3 linked regions of the Macaca mulatta genome follow. The protein of the gene in region 1 interacts with the protein of each later gene in a pairwise test. Links are inferred from orthologs where the notes say so. Each region holds a gene or a part of one and is shown in the gene's direction. Other genes may lie near its edges.

Region 1 (3,747 bases):
GCTGATACTCCCCATTCCCTCTCCGTACTTATTTTAACTAGTAAGGGATGGGGCAAGGGTATGGAGCTTTGGAGTCAGACAACCCTGGCTTTTTTAAACTGTGCCTTTTCTTACCAGCATTTGGAAGTGCTGTATATTGAAGTAACTTCTCTGAACCCCGAATACTTCATCTATACAATTAGGAATAATAAATACGTCATAGATTAGGTATAGACATTATCTGACGCATAGCAGGTACTATTCAAATGAAGGAAACGAAGTTATCCTAGGTCCTTTAATGCACTAAATGTTTGCTCCATTTCCCCCTTTCTTGGTATCTGTGTGAAATCTCAGGATACAGTGTCCACTAAACTTCAGCGCACTGCGTAATGAGACAACGACCTGGATGTGCGGACCTTTTGAGTTTAAACGGGTTTCAGTAGGTAAAAGACGTAAAGTTCACAGTACCCTCGCAATTTAGATAGAAAGAGGAAAAAATCAGCCGGGTGGGGGGGTCCCCGTATGCAAATAGAGGAATTATAGAAGAAGACAGGCTCTGCCGCAGCCGCACTTCCCCCTCCGCGCTGGCGCGGGGGTGGAGATTTGCATGCGCGAAGTCGGGAAGAGGGGGAACCACCTCTCGAAAACCCCGGGCGTCGCCCTCCCCGGCCTGGAGGGTCGGCCCCGCTCGGCCGCCCGGCGCGCCCCTAAAAGCTCCCGGGCGGCCGGCCCTCTCTACGTCATCCGCACCCCCCCGCCCGCTCCTGAACTTTAAACCACACTCGGAAGAACAACCTGGAGGAGGGGGATTTCGCGGGAGCCGGCGGCCTTCTCACGCTGCGACCTCCCGGCTGCCGCCGTTCCCTGTGCTCCCGAAGCCCACCCCAAGCTCCCGCTCCCTCGACCCCCTCCCAAGCCCGCCGCCGCAGCAGCGCCGGGGGCGTACGCGCCGGGGCGGACGGTGAGCGTGAGCGGGGGCGGGCAGGGCGGGGCGCTGGGGGCGGTCGCGCGCGCGACGGCAGCTAGGACGCCCCGCCCCACGCCTCCGGCTTGAAGGCTGCGCCGGGCCTACGTCAGCCGCGGGAAATTCCCCTCCCGCCAGGCTGCCAGCCTCTCGGCCTGGCCGGCACTCGGCTCTCGCCCTGCTGCGCCCCCTGCCCCTGGCTCCCGCACGGTGGACGGGCGACGCTGGTGACCCGGAGCGCAAGAATTCAGGGGGTGGGAAGGTGTGAGCCGCAAACCCAGCGGAGGGCGGGAAGAAGGAGGAGGACCCTGGGGTGGTCGGGGGACTGGGGGCCCCGCCGGCAGAGGTCCCTCGGCCTCCTGACTGACTGACTGACTGACCACGGCCGCCTCTGGCCAGGACGCCGGGAACTGCCTGCGGGAAGGTGCGGGGAACGGAGCCATGGCCTCCGGTGAGTGTTCCGGGTCGGGGACCTGGGCCGGGGGGAAGGAGCTTTTCTTGGGGTCCTGCCGCTGTGAGTTTAGGGAGCTCAGTTTTGGCTGGGGCGCGTTCTGTCTTTAAAATCTCATATGGTAAAATTGTCAGCTTTTAAAAAAGTTACCTGTTTCAGGGCTTGCGTGCAAAATCCAAGCCGCGGTCTGTAATTTGATCCTGTTGTCATAGCAGGAAACTTATAAATTCCTAATGACTTGATTTTAGGATTAGGGAAGTCATAAGCGAACTAAAGGAGGACGAGGAGTTCTCATGTTAAAAATGGATATGTATTGAAGTGGTGGTTTTATGTTTTAGAACAAGAATGAGGAACCTTCAAACCTCGGGCAAGCTCTCTCCCCCTTTTTAATTTCGTCAAATGCAAAGAGGTGATCCCCCTTGTACTGACAGTTGTACAAAATGCTGCACGGCTTTAAAAATCATTCGTGGTATTTTAACACGAATTTAAAAATCCGTGGTATTTTAAGTGTTAATGTTGCATCGACCAGGTGTAGGCCGGGCGCGGTGGCTCACGCCTGTAATCCCAGCACTTTGGGAGGCCGAGGCGGGCGGGTCATCTGAGGTCGGAAGTTCGAGACCAGCCTGGCGAACATTTTGAAACTCCGTTTCTACTGAAAATACAAAAATTAGTCTGGCGTGGTGGCGCACGCCTGTAATCCCAGCTACTCGGAAGGCTGAGGCAGGAGAATCGCTCGAACCTGGGCGAGGTGGAGGTTGCAGTGAGCCAAGATCGCGCCCCTTCTCTCCAGCATGGGCGACAGAGACCCTGTCTCTATTAAAAAAAAAAAAAATAGAGTGTGTAATTTTTACTGTGAGATAAAGCACACAGTTTCTAATCTGACGAATAGAGACGTTGAATCCCCCTTCCTTCCCGCTGGAAATAAGGGGAAAGAGGAGTTTTAGAATATCCGTGCTTTAAAATAATGGGTAGTAGTGAATACAACTTTATCACTTATTTGACTGTATATTTTCCCTTAATAAATGCTCGATCTCTCCCTTTGGGGGGAAATAAATTTATAAGAAACATTGCAGAGCAGGGAAGAGCCTCCTGTATGCACAGACGTGGTTTCGGGGTGCCTGGAGCTCAAGGTTGGGGGGACGGGAGAGCCGGGGTGGTGGGAGAAATTAAGTAGCCTGGGTTCGAGTTGGTCTTTTACCAGGATTTTGCCAAGGTGAGTGGGGGGCGCTTTCCAGACAGAGGAAGCAGCGTGAGCAAAGGCAGGGAGGGCTAAATGCATATGTTAAATGCTGTACCTAAGAGAGTGAAGACGGGGCACCGTTTATGAACTTGACTCGCATCCCAAAACTGCCTGGTCCAGTGACCCTCAGAAGTTGGTTGATGTCTAGTGGAGATGAGGAAGTAGGAAGTTTAAAGAACCTTTCTAAAAGGTTGAGCAGAACAATGCCATAGCTACTGCTGTAGGCAGAAAAGGAAATTGGGGTGTTTCACATGACATTTGATTTCAGTTTGTCTGTGGTTGTGAGAATACTAAGTGAAGTTTAAAATATTTCAGCTTTCCCTTTTCCCACTTAAGTGACACCAGACTTTCAGATAATCCTGTAAATTTGTGAATTCAAAGCATGTGTAGATTAGAAGTGCTAAGATGACTTCAAATGTTTTGTTAATTTATTGGTTATCAGAAAGATTTTGTTTGGAAGTAATGAAGAATGCCTAGCATTGTAAGTTAAGTTCAGCCTCTTGGCGATTTAATCAAACTTTATTGATGTATTGCATAAATGTAATACTTACAATTTTTTCAAATGAGAGAGGAAACAACCATTTCTGTATAGAGTATTGTTAAGACCCACAGGATTTTAAAATGTAATACAATTTAAATTTGTTCATTGACACTGTATTTTGTGCTGTTGTGAGGAGGAAGGATTCCCTAAAAGTAAGGAGGAAATGTTTAAAGAAATAGAAAATTTTAAAGGTTTAGAAGTTGAAGGGTGATTAACTTTTTGTTTTTTTGGTCTTTTCTCAAGAGTTGCATTAAAATGGCACTATTTAAAATGTAGCAAGTTATTTAAATTGTAATTCAGTTGTTAGAAAACTGCCAAGCCTGGAATTAAAAAAAAAAAAAAAAGAAAATGTTTAAAGGAATCTGTGTACTTTTCCTTAATCTGTTATAAAGACCTTAGAGATAGAAAAAGATTCAGTAATGAAATTCTAAATTCCTATTCTGTTTTGAAACAGCAATTTAACCAGAAAAGTGACACACACAAAAAAAAAAGAAAAAGAAATTGCTTAGTTTTTCGTTGTCTAGTTTAGATTCTCTTTGTAGTAAGGTAGTATTAAAACCTCAAAAAGTACT
Region 2 (3,747 bases), on another chromosome or scaffold:
TCTGTCGCCCAGGCTGGAATGCAATGGCGCCATCTCAGCTCATTGCAGCCTCAACCTCCCAGGTTCAAGCGATTCTTGTGCCTCAGCCTCTCAAGTAGCTGGGACTACAGGCGCAGACCACCATGCCCAGCTAATTTTTGTATTTATTAGTAGAGACAGGGTTTCACTATGTTGGCCAGGATGGTCTCAAACTCCTGACCTCAAGTGATCCGCCTGCCTCAGCCTCCCAAAGTGCCAGGTGCCAGGATTACAAGCATGAGCCACCACGCCCGGCTGAACTTTTTTCTTGCTTTTCCTGGTGATCTCCACCTGGCTCTCTTGTGTCAGGCAGAGCGGCCTCTTGGCTTTCCGCCCCCTCTGTCACTCTGCCCAGGGCTTTCATTGGTCCTCAGCTGGCACCTTGCATGCCTCCGCCTTCAGACTGTGGCTCTCACCCAGGAGCTCCGCACCTGGGACATCCCAGTATCTCCACCCCTGCAGCTCCCAGCTCTGGTGACAGCCTCAGTAATAACACAATTCTGAAATATATTCCTACCAGCCAGCACTTAGTAGGCAATGCCAGGCATTCTGCTGACCCGGGGTACATCCTCTTATCCTTCCAACTGTCTTGAGGGCCGGAACCATTTTGCACATAAGGCTGTCCTATCAGTCAGTGAACACTGACAGGTCCCAGACTGTGTTCAAGGCAGGGGAAGGAGCTTGGGGGTCCTTAGACAAAAGCCTTGGGGGTCCTAGAGAGTTGAGCCAGGTTTATTAAAAATTCCTCCATGTTGGCCAGGTGTGGTGGTTCACATGCCTAATCCCAGCACTTTGGGTGGCTGAGGTGGGAGGATTGCTTGAGGCCAGGAGTTCCAGATCAGCCTGGTCAGCATAGCAAAACCCCGTCTCTATTTAATTCAAAATAAGAAAAAAAAAAATTAAAAAAAAAAATTTCCTCCATTTTGCTGGAAAGAGGATCGGGATCTTTCCTGCCACCTGCGAACAGGCGGGAGCCCCCGCAGTAAGGAGGCCTGGAGGTGGGGGCCTCCAGCTGCCCCAGGTCATTCTCCCGGCAGGTCACCTCCCTGTCCCAGGTAGGGTGCGCTTGGTGACCACAGCAAAAAATCCTCGAGGGGAGGAGAGAACTGGGCAGGGCGGGGCAGGACCAGCGCCTCTCCCGTCGGGGCGGGACCAACATCTGGCCCAGCAGGCACAACCAGGCGGCAGCGGATACCAGGCGGCGGGCGGACCTGCGCCCGCGGGCACCATGAGCGGCCGAGTCGGGGACCTGAGCCCCCAGCAGCAGGAGGCGCTGGCCAGGGTGAGGGGCATCGCGGGCTGGGAGGCTTGGGGAGGGGCCCTGTGCAGCCTGGCGCTGCCCAACTCGGCTGGAGCCCCCATGGTAAGGGCTGGAACACCGAGCCTGGAGAGAGCGCCGCTGTTCTGCCCTCTGGTCCTGAGTGCGGTTGCTGAGGCCGCTACGTGCAGCACGCGGGACAGGAGTCTCTCTCTGGGTGATCTGGGGCCGAATCCAGTCTTCTGACCTTGCTTGCTCTCCACCACCCGGCCCTGGTCCTTCTCCCCGGTTGTGGGGGAGGGATTGGCGCTGCCATCTGGCTGCTGGGGCAGCCTTGGGTAGACAGACTCCTTTTCATGCTCAGGTTGCAACATTTGTTTGTTTGGTTTCTCTTTGTGATTTGTTCACAGGGCCCAAACTTCCCTATCTGTAATCTTTTTTTTTTTTTTTTTTTTGAGATGGAGTCTTGCTCTGTCCTCCAGGCCGGAGTGTAATGACACAATCTCTGCTCACTGCAACCTCCGCCTCCTGAGTTCAAGCGATTCCCCTGCCTCAGCCTGCCAAGTAGCTGGGGCTACAGGTGCCCGCCACCACACCCGACTAATTTTTGTATTTTTAGTAGAGATGGGGTTTCACCATATTGGCCAGGCTGGTCTCAAACTCCTGACCTTATGATCCACCCGCCTTGGCCTCCCAAAGTGCTGGGATTACAGGTGTGAGCTACTGCGCCTGGCCTCATATTTCTAATCCCAAATTCGGATTCACAGATTCACCTTCAAACCCAGCTCTTGCCTTCAGCTCTGTTAGTCCCCAGGGAAGTGAGATCGCCTCTCTTTCTCAGACCCAAGCCTCAGTCACAGACCCAAACTCTAAATGACATCCTTCAACTCTGCCAGTAGGAAAAGGCACGCTTACTCCCCGACAGCCCCAACAGATGTCCTGATAAGGCATTCGTGGCTTCTCTTTCAGCCCCTGTCTGTTGACCTCTGCCTCTGTTTTTTTCCCACACAGCCTCCACTGTCTGGGGCATCAGGCAATCCACGCTGGCTGAGTGCTCACATTTATCTGACACCTGCTTGGAGCCAAGCCTGCTAAGTGTTTTACGTGCACAAACTCCTTTGGTTCGCACAAGTTTATTATTATCCCCATTTCACAGATAAGGAAACTAAGGCTCAGAGAGGTTTGGTAACTTGCCTCTAAATCTAAACCCTTAAGATGCAGTATCAGGGATAACATTCCTAAAACCCTCTAGCTGGCCTGCAGCAGAATCTCCCAGGGATACTTGAAAAAATAAGGCTGGCAGTCGGGTGCGGTGGCTCATGCCTGTGATGACAGCACTTTGGGATGCCAAGGTGGGCAGATTGAGCCAAGGAGTTTGAGACCAGTCTGGGCAAAATGGCAAGACCCCATCTCTACAAAAAGTACAACAATTAGCTGGGCGTCTTGTGTGCCTGTGGTCCCAGCTACTTGGGAGTCTGGGCTGGGAGGATCTATTGAGCCCGGGAGGCGGAGGTTGTAGTGAGCCAAGATCACGCAACTACACTCCAGCTTGGGCAACAGAGTGAGATCCTGTCTCAATAATAATGATAGTAATAGTAAAATAATAAAAATCATAATAAAATAAAAATTAAAAATAAGGATGCCAGGGCCCCACCTTAGACAGGTAGAATGGGAGTCCTGTGTGTAGGGCACCCCCAAATTTTGGGAAGGACCCAATTCTTTTTCTTTTTTTTTTTTTTTTTTTTTTTTTTTTTTTTTTTTTTGAGACGGAGTCTTGCTCTGTCGCCCAGGCTGGAGTGCAGTGGCCGGATCTCGGCTCACTGCAAGCTCCGCCTCCCGGGTTCACACCATTCTCCTGCCTCAGCCTCCCGAGTAGCTGGGACTACAGGTGCCCGCCACCTCGCCCGGCTAGTTTTTTTTTTTGTATTTTTTAGTAGAGATGGGGTTTCACCGTGTTAGCCAGGATGGTCTTGATCTCCTGACCTCGTGATCCGCCCGTCTCGGCCTCCCAAAGTGCTGGGATTACAGGCTTGAGCCACCGCGCCCGGCCCCCCAATTCTTTTTCCTATGTTGGGCTGGAGGGTTCCCTGTTTTCAGATGGCAAAGTTGTTCAGGGCAGCACCCTGCATGGTCTCCAGGTGGAGTTGACTGGTGGATGAAGTGGGAAGGGTTAGGGGTGGGGTTGGTGGCCCCCAAGGTCATGAGAGTTCCGCTGACCATCAGCTCTTCCCCCGCTCAGTTCCGGGAGAACCTCCAGAACCTGCTGCCCATGCTGCCCAATGCTGATGACTACTTCCTCCTACGCTGGCTGCTAGGTGAGGCTTGCAGGGGCCAGGGGAGGCGGAGAGGGAGGGAAGGAAGGAGGGTCTCAGGAGAGGAGTGGGAGGCTTTGGGGAACAAAGCTGTAGAGTAGTAAAGAACACAAGCTTGCCGGGCGCGGTGGCTCACGCCTGTAATCCCAGCACTTTGGG
Region 3 (3,404 bases), on another chromosome or scaffold:
AACACAAACCCTTTTTTTTTCTTTGGTGACAGGGTCCCTGTCACCCAGGCTGGAGTACAGTGGCACGATCTCGGCTCACTGCAGTCTCTGCCTTCCGGGCTCAAGCAGTCCACCCACTTCAGCCTCCCAAGTAGCTGGGACTACAGGCATGTGCCACCACGCCCGGCTAGTTTTTTTTATTTCTTTGTAGAGATGGGGTTTTACCATATTGTGCCAGTTGGTCTTGAACTTCTGAGCTCAAGCAAGCCACCCCGCTTAGCCTCCCAAAGGTCTGAAATTACAGGCATGAGCCATCACGCCCGGCCATCAGAACACAAACCCTTAACCACTAAACCCATTGTAGACAATTAGAGGGAGATGGGGCTGGAAAAGAAGATAGGGTGTACGCCACAGACAGCCCCAAATACTCTGCAAAGGAATTTGAACTTTATTCTGTATACATTTGGAAACAACAAATGGCTTTTAAGTCCAAGAGTGATGCAATCACAGTGACGCATTAATAAAGGTTACTGAGGAGACAGAGCAGAGCACTGTGGCTGGAGGCTGGAAGCCTGGCCAGGAAGCTGTTGCCATTGTCCAGGTGAAAGGTGCTAAGGACCTGCTTGGTGGCAGTGGGGACAGAAAGAAGAAAGCAGGCCAGGCGTGGTGGCTCCCACCTGTAATTCCAGCACTTTGGGAGGCTGAGGCAGGGGGATCACTTGAGACCAAGAATTCAACACCAGCCTGGGCAACATGGCAAGACCCCATTTCCACAAAAAAAAATTAAAATCAGCTGAGCGTGGTGGCACGCACCTGTAGTCTCAGCTACTCGGAAGGCTGAGGTGGCCCTTGAGCCCAGGAGGTTGAGGCTGCAGTGAGTTGTGATTGAGCCACTATACTCCAGCCTGGGTGACAGAGACCCAGCTTTAAAAACAAACAAATGGATTTTCCCACTCTTGTGTCCAGTCCAGGCCCCTCAGCAGCCTGAGGTGGTGTCCTTCAAAGAGCAGAGCACTGCATCATCAGGTGGATGCAGCCATCATCTCCAACCCCCTGCCCTTCATCCCTACAGTACTGACGGCCTCATCCTCCCCTTCAACCCCCAGGGACACACTCAGGACACCAACACCTTCTTTCTGTGCCGGACACTGCGCTCCCTAGGGGTCCAGGTTTGCCGAGTCTCAGTTGTACCTGATGAGGTAGCCACCATTGCAGCTGAGGTCACCTCTTTCTCCAACCGCTTCACCCATGTCCTCACAGCAGGGGGCATCGGCCCCACTCATGATGATGTGACCTTTGAGGCAGTGGCACGGGCCTTTGGGGATGAGCTGAAGCCACACCCTGAGCTGGAAGCAGCCACCAAAGCCCTAGGAGGGGAAGGCTGGGAGAAGCTGTCATTGGTGCCCTCCTCTGCCCGCCTGCATTACGGCACAGATCCTCGCACTGGTCATCCCTTCAGATTCCCACTGGTCTCCGTCCGAAATGTCTACCTCTTCCCAGGCATTCCAGAGCTGCTGCAGCGGGTGCTGGAGGGGCTGAAGGGACTGTTCCAAAACCCAGCTGTTCAGTTCCACTCAAAGGAGCTGTATGTGGCTGCTGATGAAGCCTCCATTGCCCCCATTCTGGCTGAGGCCCAGGCCCACTTTGGACGTAGGCTTGGCCTGGGTTCCTACCCTGACTGGGGCAGCAACTACTATCAGGTGAAGCTGACTCTAGACTCAGAGGAAGAAGGACCCCTGGAGGAATGCCTGGCCTACCTGACTGCCCGTTTGCCCCAGGGATCGCTGGTCCCCTACATGCCCAACGCCGTGGAGCAGGCCAGTGAGGCTGTATACAAACTCGCTGAATCAGGTAGGGACCTTATGGAGGAGGGGCAGTATGCCCAAAGCCATTGGTGCCACCCCAGATCTCAGTAATGCAGGGGCTGTTGGGTGCTTCCTGCAAATCCCAGGGAGGGCAGAAGATAGCTTCTGTTAATTCATTATTCTTCCAATAAACGTTGATTGAGTACCTACTTTCATCAGCACTGTGCTAGGTGTTGGGAATATAGCCCAAAAGAATAATGTATGCCCTGCTCTTGTGGACGAGTGTTTTAACAAGAAAGATGGACATTAAACAGGTGATCCTGCATGGGGTGATGAAGGGAGTGATCTCCCACAGCAGGGAGATCAGCCTTGATCTGGGGTCAGAGAAGGCAAAGTGACATAAACTGAGCGATAAGGAGGATTTGGTCTAGTAGGTGGGCAAGAGCCAATAGTATGAATGATGGCCTGCAAGGAAGCAGCATGGGGTTTAGGGGAATGGAAGGAAGCCCACACCCCACGCCCCCTGCTACGGAGGAATGACACTGAGGCTACCGTGAGGTGTGGCTGGGTGGCAGATGGCAGGTCAGGGGCCAACTCTGCAGGGCCTAGTGAGCAGCATGAAGGAGTTTGGACTTTATCCTCAGACAATTGGGAAGATATCGAAGGGTTTAAGCAAGGGCAGCATGCCTTCACTCCCCTTTGATAGCCATATGTGTCCATCTGATGCCCTCTTCCCTGCCTGCTTGGCAGGGTCTTCTCTGGGGGAAAAGGTGGCAGGTGCCCTACAGACCATTGAGACCGCCCTGGCTCAGTACAGCCTCACCCAGCTCTGTGTGGGCTTCAACGGGGGCAAAGACTGCACCGCCCTCCTGCACCTCTTCCATGCAGCTGTGCAGAGGTGAGCCTGCCCCCTGGGAGACAAGACCCCTGATCTGTTTCTCCAGTTCCACATCCCAGAAAGCAAGGGGAGAGGGAGTGTATAGGTGGAGTTCAAGGGGGAGATAGTCTTGGTGATCTCTCAGTTCCATTCTCCCACCATATTGAGCATATGATATGTGCCTGGCCTTGTGTATGGATGTGCAGGCCACTATCCCTGACCACAGGGAAGTCACAGTCCACTGGGGAGATGGGAGATTTACATACCTGAACCAGGGATGCGTGTTTAGATTTGAGAGGTGAAAGGTCAGAGTGGGCTTCCCAGAGGAAGTGGGTCTAATGGATGGAAAGGACAAGGAAAAGAGAGAAGGGGTGGGAGTCTGTTCCAGGGGCCAAAGAGAACAGTGAGCTGTTTCAGGAGAGCCATTTCCCTGTCCATGCTGGCAAGCCTGTGGATTCTTCCCCCTCCGCAGGAAATTACCTGATGTTCCAAACCCCCTCCAGATCCTGTATATCCGCAGCATCTCCCCTTTCCCTGAGCTGGAACAATTTCTACAGGATACTATCAAGAGGTACTAGGGGCCTGGAGGTTTGGGCTCCAAGAGAAGCTTGACAGAGCTCACTCCCGACCCCTACTTCTGTTTCTTCCTAAGGTATAATCTGCAGATGTTGGAAGCTGAGGGCAGCATGAAGCAGGCCCTGGGTGAACTGCAGGCACGGCACCCCCAGCTGGAGGCTGTCCTG

The links.
Region 2: the proteins of REL (region 1) and SEC14L4 interact in binary tests that used the Homo sapiens proteins (3 or more experiments, as listed by UniProt). The two-hybrid records come from large-scale screens. The link is inferred for Macaca mulatta from reciprocal best matches to the Homo sapiens genes REL and SEC14L4.
Region 3: the proteins of REL (region 1) and FLAD1 interact in binary tests that used the Homo sapiens proteins (3 or more experiments, as listed by UniProt). The two-hybrid records come from large-scale screens. The link is inferred for Macaca mulatta from reciprocal best matches to the Homo sapiens genes REL and FLAD1.

The regions. Positions count from the first base shown.
Region 1 is NC_133418.1:63,901,161-63,904,907, reverse strand, and holds the start of REL (proto-oncogene c-Rel), read left to right. Parts: upstream 1-1,076; 5' UTR 1,077-1,384; coding exon 1,385-1,394; intron 1,395-1,544; exon of another isoform or gene 1,545-3,747. UniProt on the Homo sapiens protein: Proto-oncogene that may play a role in differentiation and lymphopoiesis.
Region 2 is NC_133415.1:21,040,108-21,043,854, forward strand, and holds the start of SEC14L4 (SEC14-like protein 4), read left to right. Parts: upstream 1-1,136; 5' UTR 1,137-1,246; coding exon 1,247-1,300; intron 1,301-3,499; exon of another isoform or gene 3,500-3,515; coding exon 3,516-3,591; intron 3,592-3,747. UniProt on the Homo sapiens protein: Probable hydrophobic ligand-binding protein; may play a role in the transport of hydrophobic ligands like tocopherol, squalene and phospholipids.
Region 3 is NC_133406.1:112,014,577-112,017,980, reverse strand, and holds part of FLAD1 (FAD synthase), read left to right. Parts: intron 1-1,085; coding exon 1,086-1,830; intron 1,831-2,534; coding exon 2,535-2,682; intron 2,683-3,133; coding exon 3,134-3,232; intron 3,233-3,313; coding exon 3,314-3,404. UniProt on the Homo sapiens protein: Catalyzes the adenylation of flavin mononucleotide (FMN) to form flavin adenine dinucleotide (FAD) coenzyme.